Linked DNA regions of Xenopus tropicalis. The protein of the gene in region 3 interacts with the protein of the main gene of each other region in a pairwise test. Links are inferred from orthologs where the notes say so. Each region holds a gene or a part of one and is shown on either strand. Other genes may lie near its edges. The genes, in order: btbd2, btbd1 and top1.1.

The links.
Region 1: the proteins of top1.1 (region 3) and btbd2 interact in a two-hybrid assay, tested with the Homo sapiens proteins (2 studies listed by BioGRID). The link is inferred for Xenopus tropicalis from reciprocal best matches to the Homo sapiens genes TOP1 and BTBD2.
Region 2: the proteins of top1.1 (region 3) and btbd1 interact in a two-hybrid assay, tested with the Homo sapiens proteins (2 studies listed by BioGRID). The link is inferred for Xenopus tropicalis from reciprocal best matches to the Homo sapiens genes TOP1 and BTBD1.

What each region holds. Positions count from the first base shown.
Region 1 is NC_030677.2:102,971,242-102,974,899, forward strand, and holds part of btbd2 (BTB/POZ domain-containing protein 2), read left to right. Parts: intron 1-1,888; coding exon 1,889-2,008; intron 2,009-2,581; coding exon 2,582-2,738; intron 2,739-3,253; coding exon 3,254-3,359; intron 3,360-3,658.
Region 2 is NC_030679.2:105,416,759-105,420,416, forward strand, and holds part of btbd1 (BTB/POZ domain-containing protein 1), read right to left. Parts: intron 1,504-3,658; coding exon 1,306-1,503; intron 971-1,305; coding exon 778-970; intron 1-777.
Region 3 is NC_030686.2:40,925,753-40,929,410, forward strand, and holds part of top1.1 (DNA topoisomerase 1), read right to left. Parts: intron 1,367-3,658; coding exon 1,279-1,366; intron 787-1,278; coding exon 513-786; intron 118-512; coding exon 65-117; intron 1-64. UniProt on the Homo sapiens protein: Releases the supercoiling and torsional tension of DNA introduced during the DNA replication and transcription by transiently cleaving and rejoining one strand of the DNA duplex.

The DNA.
Region 1 (3,658 bases), on a different chromosome or scaffold from region 3:
ACCAAATTATCAAACCGTTTATTTGGAGCTAGGCCTTGTTTGTCCCATACTGCTTATTGCTATTTTCTTATGTTGTCTCAAATGATTTGCTTTTCCAGTTAAATAAGATGCCGTTTCCCTCAAAATATCGGTTCTAGCGTGTGAACATTTTTGAAATTTTATAAAAACATTTTAAAGTACACTTACTCACGTGCAGTGTATACTCTAGCAATAATGTGGCAAATGATAGCCTCTTAGGTTAGAATAAATTATTACAAGAGATGTTGTCACTATATCATTTTTTAAAATGCTTGTTCATTCAGGCCTTTACATGTAGTTTAGTCGTTAGAGTCCTATGTGGGTCTAATCACGTGGACTTGACCTTTACCCACAGACTTAGCCTCTTGGACCCAATACCATCCTCCAACAACAAACCAAAGGCAGGAAGTTGGGATTTGAAGTGGAGAGGCTTAAGGTGGCCATAGACAGGCAAATTTGTAATTATTGATTCAAGCCCTTCAGACCTATTTGGCAGCTTATCTGCCTCTGATGGTCCTATCTGACCAATATCTGGCTGAAAATCGTCCAGAGGTCGATCGAGCAGGTATGATCGCATTGGCTGGTTGATGTGGTCTTCCCTTAAATAGTTAGTTGTAATCCAGTCATTTGGCCCTAGGGCCAAAAGATTGGGTTAGCCCAATATCAGCCATCTTAGGTGGCAACATCACCAAACAAGCGGATTTTATAGTATATGGTTAGCTTTATTGCTTAAAGCAGAGTACCGGTACCCACAATAAAATAACTGTGACATTTACATTAACACACTTAGATTCTTATAATATTTTTAATCAACAATTAAAAAAAAAAAACAAACATCATGAATAGCGGAAACACTATGCCTTTTTTTCACAAACAGCTTTTATTCTGGTAGTCTGAGCACCGTTGATCACTTCCAAAAACACATGCAGTCTCCTGATAACATTGGCCTTAGTATATACTTTTATTGGAGCAGGGATGATGTAAATGGGTACCTTGGAAATCTTGTACACCATGTTGGCCATTGCTCTTCCACTTTCTCTCTCCATTTATGCTTTACATCTTTTACTCTTATACAGCATTGCACAGATGTGCGGCTGAAAAAACATTCTGTTTTCTTTCAGCTGTTTCTTGACTTTTCCCCATTTTGATTTAGCTTTCTTCTCTAACTCCTTTACATTTGCTCACTCCTCCCCTTTCTTCTTCTGCTCTCCCTACCCTCTAATTTCACCCCTTTCATCTCTCTCTTTCTGAAATTGTAAGCGGGCTGTTTTGTGACGTTGGTGCAGCAATGGCTTATTTTTTTTCTGCCAACTCTACCATGCAGTTGGAGAATCTCCTTATTGTGCATGCTGAGACAACAACGGCACTTTGTTTTAGAAAAGCATGTATTTCAGTAGAAGTTGCTTAATGGTTTTTGTTTGCATCCTGAGAAAGTCTCCTGACAGTTGTGTCTGAAATCTTTCCTGGTCTATTTGACTGTAGCTTGTTATGGGAAAACCATTTTTGACTTCATCATCAGAGTTTGAACAATACTGATTGGAACTTCCTGTTCAATCACTTATTTATATTCTTGTGCCTGTCCCTCCCCACATGGGTTTATTAGTAATGCTGGCCTGTTGGGTTTAATTGGGAGAGGATGGGTTATGGTAAAGCCAAGGACAACCTGCGCATTACTAAACACAAAAAAAAAAAACTTTTAAAACTTATAACAGTTGTAACTGATGCATATCGGAAAATTGCTAAGAATTATATTTTCTTTCATCAGTCAAAATGCTATCGTATTTCTAATGAATATAAATTGTATATGAAATGATTCTAGTAAAGTGACTGAATGTATCTTTGAAAGCAACTCAGTGTTTATACTTCTTAGGTTTGTGTTGGCTGTGGGAAGTGCAGTCTTTGATGCTATGTTTAATGGTGGAATGGCTACAACGTCCACAGAAATAGAATTGCCAGATGTTGAACCTGCTGCATTCCTTGCTTTGTTAAAGTAAGTACAGTATATGCTTACCTTTTTTGAGGGTATTAGTGCCTATTACTTCCATACTTTAGTATAGGTTAATGCTTTCACTTTATACAGGTATGGGATTTGTTATCCAGCTCTTAATTATGGGAAGGATGTCTTTCATGCATTCCATCAAATAACTCAGATTGTTCTTTTTCTCTGTAATAATAAAACAGAACCTTGTACTTGATCCCAACCAAGATATAATTAATCCTTATTGGTGGCAAAAAATGCTATTGGGTTTAATCAATCTTTAAATGCTTTTTTAAGTATACTGAAGGTATGGAGATCCAAGTTATGGAAGGATCCCTTATCCAGAAAACCCCAGGTCCTGAGCATTCTGGATAACAAGTCCCATACCTGTATATGTAACAGTAAACACTGTAAAAGTAAGTTTTGGTGCATTATTGAGTGTACATAATCAAGGACCACATATCCTTAGGAAAATAGAATACAAAAAATCTTTATATAGAGCTTTACAAAAAATGGTTAAATCATTTTTGTGTAAAGTAGGCATTTACCTGGGCTTTTGTCTAATCAGCACTAATGTTGTTTGAGGTTCCTTTACTCTGATGAAGTACAGATCGGTCCAGAGACTGTAATGACAACTTTATACACGGCCAAGAAATATGCTGTACCTGCCCTGGAGGCGCACTGCGTGGAATTTCTAAAGAAGAACCTTCGAGCAGATAATGCTTTTATGTTGCTTACACAGGTATTTTTATTATTCACATAACCTTATAATGTACCAAAGTATTCCCCAGCACTGTACAGTAGAAACATATATACATTAAACATGCAGATTACATACAAATACTGATGCAGCAGGTAAAAAGGGCCCTACTTTGAATTGTCAGATTATGTTCATAATAAGCTTTGCATTCTCATTATTTTGATATAAATGTTATGTTAAGTACAGAGGTATGAGGGGTTCTTATTGGCATATCTGTGTAAAAGAAAAAACAACTGGCAAACCAATGGCAAAACTTTTTTAAAAAATGGCAGATCGTCCCTGAAACTAATTGATAGTTTTGTAAACCCATAACTGGTAAATAAAAATGTCTCATTAAGATCTACTAAGACATTAAAACTGCTAATTGTTAGGTTCTTATGCTGTCATCTTGCATTTTGAGTATAGGTAAAATGAAATAATTGCAAAACTTTGAGAGTTTGTTTTGGTACCATAAACAAGAGCTGACTTCTTGCATTTTGTTGTTATAACAACTTTAGGCTCGGCTGTTTGATGAACCTCAGCTAGCAAGCCTTTGTCTGGAAAACATTGATAAGAATACCTCAGATGCCCTAAATGCAGAGGGTTTCACTGACATCGATTTAGGTAATTTTATCAAAGCTTGTCTCCCTCCTCATGGCCTGAATACTAAAGCATGGTTCAGTGCATGCATTTAAAGGCATAGTTTAGGAGAATGGCACACCCAGCTATCCCTTGTCCACAGAAAATCACTAGTAGCTCTGACTTTCTAAAAGTACTGCATGAAGTACGCAATATCGTGCCTGACTCTTTGGATCTGTAGCAGAGCCCCCTACAGACATAATTTGTTTTTTTTTTCCATTAGTTTTGTTTTCTCTCAGGCTTTGCTATTTATGGCTAGGACCGTGTGGAGAAGCTTTACCAGA
Region 2 (3,658 bases), on a different chromosome or scaffold from region 3:
TAACCTTTAAATAAAGCATCATATGTATAAATTAAAAGTGCAAGCAGGCTTTACATACAGTATAAATAAATATATGACTGGGTGAGACTGGATGGGCTTATGAGCAGCAACCAGAAATCAATAATGCCATTAATGTGGGCAAACACGTATGCTTTAAATTTTGGTAACAGATGGGCAAGTGTTTTGTAGTGTCAGAACTATGGGAGCATTGCCCAGACTGAGATCATTCACCCTATAGAGGAAACACAAGCAAGCCAAGATGCTTCCATGTAAATCCAGTGTCTTAGAACGTCACTGTGTGACCAGCTAAGCAGGAAGCTTTCCCCCCCCTTTCCCCTTATAATTAGGATTATTATTTATAAGCACCACCCCCCATACAGCAAGTTGGCCAGCTCCAGGCCAGCGATGCGGCCCGTGCCGCTTCGGGTTGCGCCCCGTGCGTACATGATGTCAGTACGCACCGGCGCCCCGTGCGTACTGACGTCATGTACACACGGGGCGCAACCCGATCTTCACCGGTATGGGGGTATTTAAAAAATGAATATCAGTTTTTTTTTAAAAAACGGTATTCGGTATATGGCGGTATACTGCCCAGCACTATGTTTGTGCTTTACAAACAATAGAATAGTAATAATTATATAAATGAAACTGGTATATAATTTGTATCATAAGGCATTTGTGTTGCCTTCAGAGGCTACCCATTTTATAGAAATCCCCTATAATAAGAAATCCCAATAAGGACTGTCAAGCATGGGGAATTGTTGTCTGTAGTATCACCTGACCCTGTCGCTTGTTCCACTGTATCCCCATCGGCTTTCCACTTGCTGGAATCTGGTAATGCTGCATTCTCTTCCACGGAGACAACATCGTGGGCGATCAGTATAGTCTACATGAGGCTTAGGATTTACTGTAAAATGTAGAAAGAGGTTTACCACTTCCCGGTCTGACAAAATTCCAGACTGAGCAGGACCTGCCATGACAAATATAAAACAAAAATACCACTGTAGTGGGCAAGTTGGTGTGGAAATACAGTGCTCATTCTTTATACCATCACCCGCAGTTATCACCAGGTAGCTGCATTTCACAAAAGTACATTTAGTGATGCTTAATAAATTAGACAACATGCTTTATAATGTTGGCCAAGTGGTATAAGAAATACATATTGTACTATATTAGGCCATACGAGTATATCCATCCTTGGTTCTTGCACCACTAATACATATATAGGAAGCCTGTAACTCTTCAGATATAGTTAAACATTTAACTCCAAGCATCACAGTGATGCACTCCCAGTCACTAAATTACCTGCTGCAAACTCCTCTACTGTCATTAGAGGGAAACGGATCAAGGGCAGCGCCTTTCCTAGAACCTTCATTTTGTTTTCTGTGCTGACAGGAAGTTGCTGCCTCTGACATTCAGCCTCTGCCCAACGAACGGCCGCACCAAAGAGATGGCTCTCCCGAATGCTCAGGGTGTCTCGCTGTAAGACTGCGCACAATGTGTCTGAGGAAAGATGCAACTAATCATTTAATACAGTCACAGTGAATTCCATATGGTTTGACAAAAAAAGTGTAACCGTCCAGAAAATTCTGAGTTATAAATATGCAGATTCTCAGTTACAGGAAGGCCATATATTCTTAAAAAAAATCTAAATCATTGGTGAATTGGTTTGTTCATAGCACTTACAGCTACTAGTCAGCCACCATATCAGATTCACCTCCTCATCTTTTGCACCATTTATTATCCAACATGGGTAGCTGGCAGATAAGATTTTTAAAGGGGTAGTTCTCCTTTGACTTAACTTATAGTATGGTATAGACATTTTTTTTATTTTCCATGTTTTTTAATTATTTAACTTTTTGTTCAGCAGCTCTCCAGTTTGAAATTTCAACAGCTATCAAGTTGTTCAGGTCCAATTTATCCTAGCAACCAGGCAATAGCTTGAATGATAGACTGGACTATAAATAGTAGGGGAACTAAAAAGAAACATAAGTAATAACAATTAGCAAAGAAAAGTTACTAAAGCTGGCCATACACGCACCGATAATATTGTGTAGAAGGCCACAGGTATCGGACGACTTGCCGATCGGGCAGGTTAAAACATTTTGATCGGACGCCATTAAAGGCGCCTGAGCAAAATCTATGTTCAAGGCTGAATCGGCAGAAGGAGGTAGAAATCCTATTGTTTCTACCTCCATATCTGACGATTCAGCCCTGAATGTCAGTGGAAAATCGCCACGTGTGTGGCCAGCTTTAGAACAGAACATTTAATGACACATTAAAAGTTAACATGAACGTAAACGTCCCTTTTAAACCTGTCCGATTAGTAAAATAACCAAAAATCAAGATAAATATCAGTTGTAATGGTTTAGCCAGCATACAAGAAGTGAAAATCGGTACACTCCTGGCCATCTTTATGTTCTAGCAACTGCAGTTACTGACAGAGCCCTGACCCTCATGGACCCCCACATATTTGTGCTCTTTGCATGGGTAAATATGGGACAAAGAAAGTAAGTCAGATGTATATGCGACCATTGCATCCCACTATAGCTACTCCATAGTGCCTATGAGCAGGGCTACAATTAAACTGATAGATAGATATAGATTAGATATAATGGCAACTTGTGCTGTCATTTAATAAAACTAACATCCTGACAAGTCCTTACACCTTTTATCCACTAGGCAGAAAATGTAAATGTAACTCCCAACAATGAACAGGGGAGTTTGCTCAACAAGTTGTGGAAGTGATGCCACGAATGAGGCACCTCAATCCAAGAGACAATTTAGACACTCCTCTTCAAGTGACACAGTCTAAAGCTGGCCATACACACACCGATAATATTGTACGAAACCTCGTTTCGTACGATATTCGGTGTGTGTATGGCAAGCCGACGAATCGACCGATATCGCAGGAGGCTGCTGATATCAGTCGACTCGCCGATCGGCCAGGTTAAAAGATTTTGATTGGGCGCCATAGAAGGCGCCTGAGCAAAATCTGTCCTCAGGGCTGAATCAGCAGAAGGAGGTAGAAATCCTATTGTTTCTCCTTATCTGCCGTTTCAGCCCTGAAGGTTAGTGGCGGATTTAACGATCTTTAGATTGCAAATCGCCACGTGTGTGGCCACCATTAGTCTATATATATATATATATATATATATATATATATATATATATATATATATATAAAATAATCATCTGTGGCCAGCACACCCTTCAATGTTTCAAGGATCCTTGAGAAAGGTCCTAACAAGGACCGAAACGTTGGTTTTAACAATATATCTGCAATAAAAAATTTTTTGATGAAACATTGAAGGGTGTGCTGGCCACAGATGATTATTTTCTATGCATACATAATTTTGGCTAAGCACCCCACAGAATATTGAGCCTTGGAGTGCGGACACCATTTGGATATATATATATATATATATATAAAGCAAGACAGTGAGCCGCACACACAGGGACTTAGTTAGAAAACAAAAAAATTTTTATTAATGAAAAAAATCCAACGTTTCGAGCACCAACTGTGCTCTTCCTCAGGGACAAACCCTGAGGAAGAGCACAGTTGGTGCTCGAAACGTTGGATTTTTTTCATTAATAACACAATAGTCCCTGTGTGTGCGGCTCACTGTCTTGCTTTATACATGTTTTTTGCAAGCAC
Region 3 (3,658 bases):
GTTCAATAAGAGAAACTCCGCACCCAGTGGCAGTATATTTGCTCTACCGACCCATTGCCTTTACCTAGAGAAACCATTTGCTTTTTTCACTTTAACACTGCCGCTGGAAGATTTCATCTGCAAGAGATAAAAGCAGTCAGGTTAAACAGTGATACTGGTCATAGTGAATACAATAAATATGAGTGCAGGAGGTCCTCAAAACCTCGTTTTGTATGATATTCGGTGCGTGTATGGCAAGTCGGCGAGTCGACCAATATCGCAGGAGGCTGCTGATATATCGGTCAACTCGCCGATCGGACCGGTTAAAAGATTTTGATCGGGCGCCATAGAAGGAGCCTGAGCAAGTTCTGCCATCAGAGCTGAATCGGCAGAAGGAGGTAGAAATCCTATTGTTTCTACCACCTTATCTGCCGTTTCAGCTCTGAACAGTTAGTGGCTGATTGAACGATCTTTCGTGCGACCATCCCAAATCGCCACGTGTGTGGCCACCTTAATGGAGATGACAGCCTCACCTTTTCTTCTTTTCTCTTCTCCCGATCTTTATCTCTGTGTTTATCTTTATGCTTTTCTCCATCTCTATGCTTCTCAGCATCTTTCTCTTTGTGTTTCTCTCCATCTTTATGTTTCTCGCCATCTTTCTCTCGATGCTTATCGTGTTTCTCGCCATTTTTGTCCCTGTGTTTCTCCCCATCTTTTTCTCTGTGTTTCTCGCCATCCTTTTCCCGATGTTTGTCATTGTTTTTGTGTTTGTCTTTATGCTTCTTTTCTGAAGGATCCTTGTGTTCACTGGAGGGGAAAAACAGAAAAAAAGAGCTGTAGGTTGCAAACACTAAATCTCCCACATCCAATTCATGGGCATATAGCTGCTGCGATGGCACTGGTCTATGTATGGGCTCAGGAGATTCCTTTTTTAATTTGTTAGATTTTCATCAGAGAAACACGGCTGGCCAAGTACAGTTTGTGCTAAATATGTAGTCCAGATCCTAGCCTTGTCTATCTTCATATTGTATTTATTCATACAAGCAGTACATTTTCCTACTACAAACTTAAAGATGGCTAAGGCCACACAGCACTTTATAACCACTTATCCTTATAGCAATCATTTTATAAGGCAGGACACCTTTTACATGGATAAACAGCCTAGACATGGCCCTGATTCCCTATATTAGCTGTCCCACAAACGTATAAGTGCTTCAGTATCAATAACTATCCCACTAATTTAACTTGTGAGATTTTCTAATGGAGTCAGCAGCCCTTTCAGGAAAGGTAGGAACATACCTGTTGTTGTGTTTGGATTTTTCCCGGTCTTTGTCTTTCTTATGTTCTTTGTGGCGATGTTCTTTGTCTTTCTTGTGTTTATGAGAGTCTAAATCCCGGAGAAAACAAAAAATCAGTTACTAAACAAGTTACCCTTTATAAAGCAAACAGCCCTGGCAGGCTAAGTGGGACAGGCAAGCTGGCTACCACGAGGTTTAGCCTGTAATTTATACACTACAATTTGTTTTGTTTTTTTAAAAGCTAAAAACACTTCCTCCAGGGCAGACTGTGGTTTTAGGGGTTAATAACCAGGAGAACGAGCAGTTACCAGGCTGATATTTGCGGAATGCGTTGGGTGGAAGGGAACATGCCTACAGGGCAGAGCAGCTTCAATAGCAGACTGACAGCAGGAAGGCACTGCCACCTACCAGAAATGGCCAAGCAAGCTTAACTGCCCCCAGCTATTGATTTTTGAAGTCCCCACCTGCAATTAGACAATAGACTGTCTGGGGCTAAAGAATTGTTCTATAACAACCCCAATTGCCAAACTGGGTCACTGGGAGGGGTGGCATGGGTCTGAAAGAAATGAACGGTATCCAATGTTTTTTTAACTTAATAGGTGCTCGCTATAATTATGTTCTATTGTTTTCTGTATTTACAACCATTTGAGGTGCCCCATCCTTCAGCATCACATTATGCAGGGAAATCAGTCATAACTAAGCTTGTGTATATTCTATATACTTACTGGGAAATAGCAATGCTTACGAAACACAAGGATAATTATCCCTACGACTGTGTGCACCATAATTTGTGGGTTCCATTACTTACAAACCCATTATCCGGAAAGCTCTGAAACACTGCAGTTCCGTTTCCCCTAACATTTAAATAAGTGATTGTTCATTTTGATTGATTCACTTTTCCTTTGTATAGTATGAACCTTGTACTAGTGCAAGCAAGTTGGAGAAAACTACCTACCTATGCCATTGTCCTTAAGCCAATAAGCATACTTGGTAATTGAGTATACTTAATAAATATGGCATTTATGGCATTAAACAATAGGTCAGGGGATCACAACTGGCCACCAGAAATGGCTTGAGTTACACATTATTATTATTATTCTCCTCAAATTTCACCATTACCAGCCTTTAGCCTCCCCCCCACCCAGCCAGTTATATGGGCCTCACTAGGAGGACCAGGCCTACAGTCTGAATTTGGGGTCAGTGCAGTGGTTCCCAGTGATCCCAGTATGCATTCCCAAAAATACCATGGGATCTCAAATGTTTAAGGGCTCAGTCCCTCCTAGGCCCAGAATGTACTTTTCTACCTACTAAACACATCCTACATACTCTATGTAAAGGGAATGCACAGAATCCCGGATTCCTCCTTTGGGGAAACAGGTGGAAGCCAGATGAGCAGCCATGGCAATTGAAACATTATAATGCTCCCATCAGGTAAACAGACGTCCCACCTGCTCGGCTTTCCAGGAACGTTCCATTGCCAGTAGAAGATAAATGCACAAATTCCAAGCCGTAACCAGTTGCTTACATCGGGTATAATTATCCAATCCCCGCGGGAGACATATTTAGTCAATGACACTTCGTTCATTTCAATGCCGGATACACCTCGGAGCAGTGTGAATGAAAGCTTACCCAGTGCTCACTAAAAAAGGGGAGGCTCTAAATACTCTCATGGTACCCCCTCCTTTCCCACACTCCCTGCCAATCTCTTCTATTACACTCGCAGCTCCCACGCCTACATGCCCACGCTAGTAAACTTTATTGGATGATACCAAGTGCTTTACAGAATCAAGGCAAAGTTACATTGTGGCAAACTCAGCCATATAGTGTTGCATCTATTCCTATTTTCCCTTTTTAGAACTAAGCTTTATCAGTTTTATACTTTTTAGAGTAGAAGGAGGACAACACCCCAACTTACTGAGCAAAAAAATCCCCAAACTACTGATGTTTGTCTCCGAATGTCAATTCCCCAGAAAGCTATGGACCAGCTATGTAAAGGCACCAAGTATCCATACCCCCCTTGCCCCAGGGGTGTGATAGGATTGTGGAGGGGGTATGAATGGTGATCTTCATACACAAATGCTTTGGGTGACCCTAAATAGATTTAGAGGTTTATTAAAATGTACAGGTCCAGACTGGCAATCTGTGGATTCAGGCAAATGCCAGAGGGGCTGCTGTAAGGTGCCATAGACACTCACTATTTATTGGGTTTGGGGGGAGCTGTTCGGCCTCTGGGTACTTGGAATGCCAGGACCCAGGACCAGACTGGCAATCTGTGGGTTCAGGCAAATGCCAGAGGGGCTGCTGTAAGATGCCATAGACAGTCACTATTTATTGGGCTGGGGGGGGGGGCTGTTTGGGCCTCTGGGTACTTGGAATGCCAG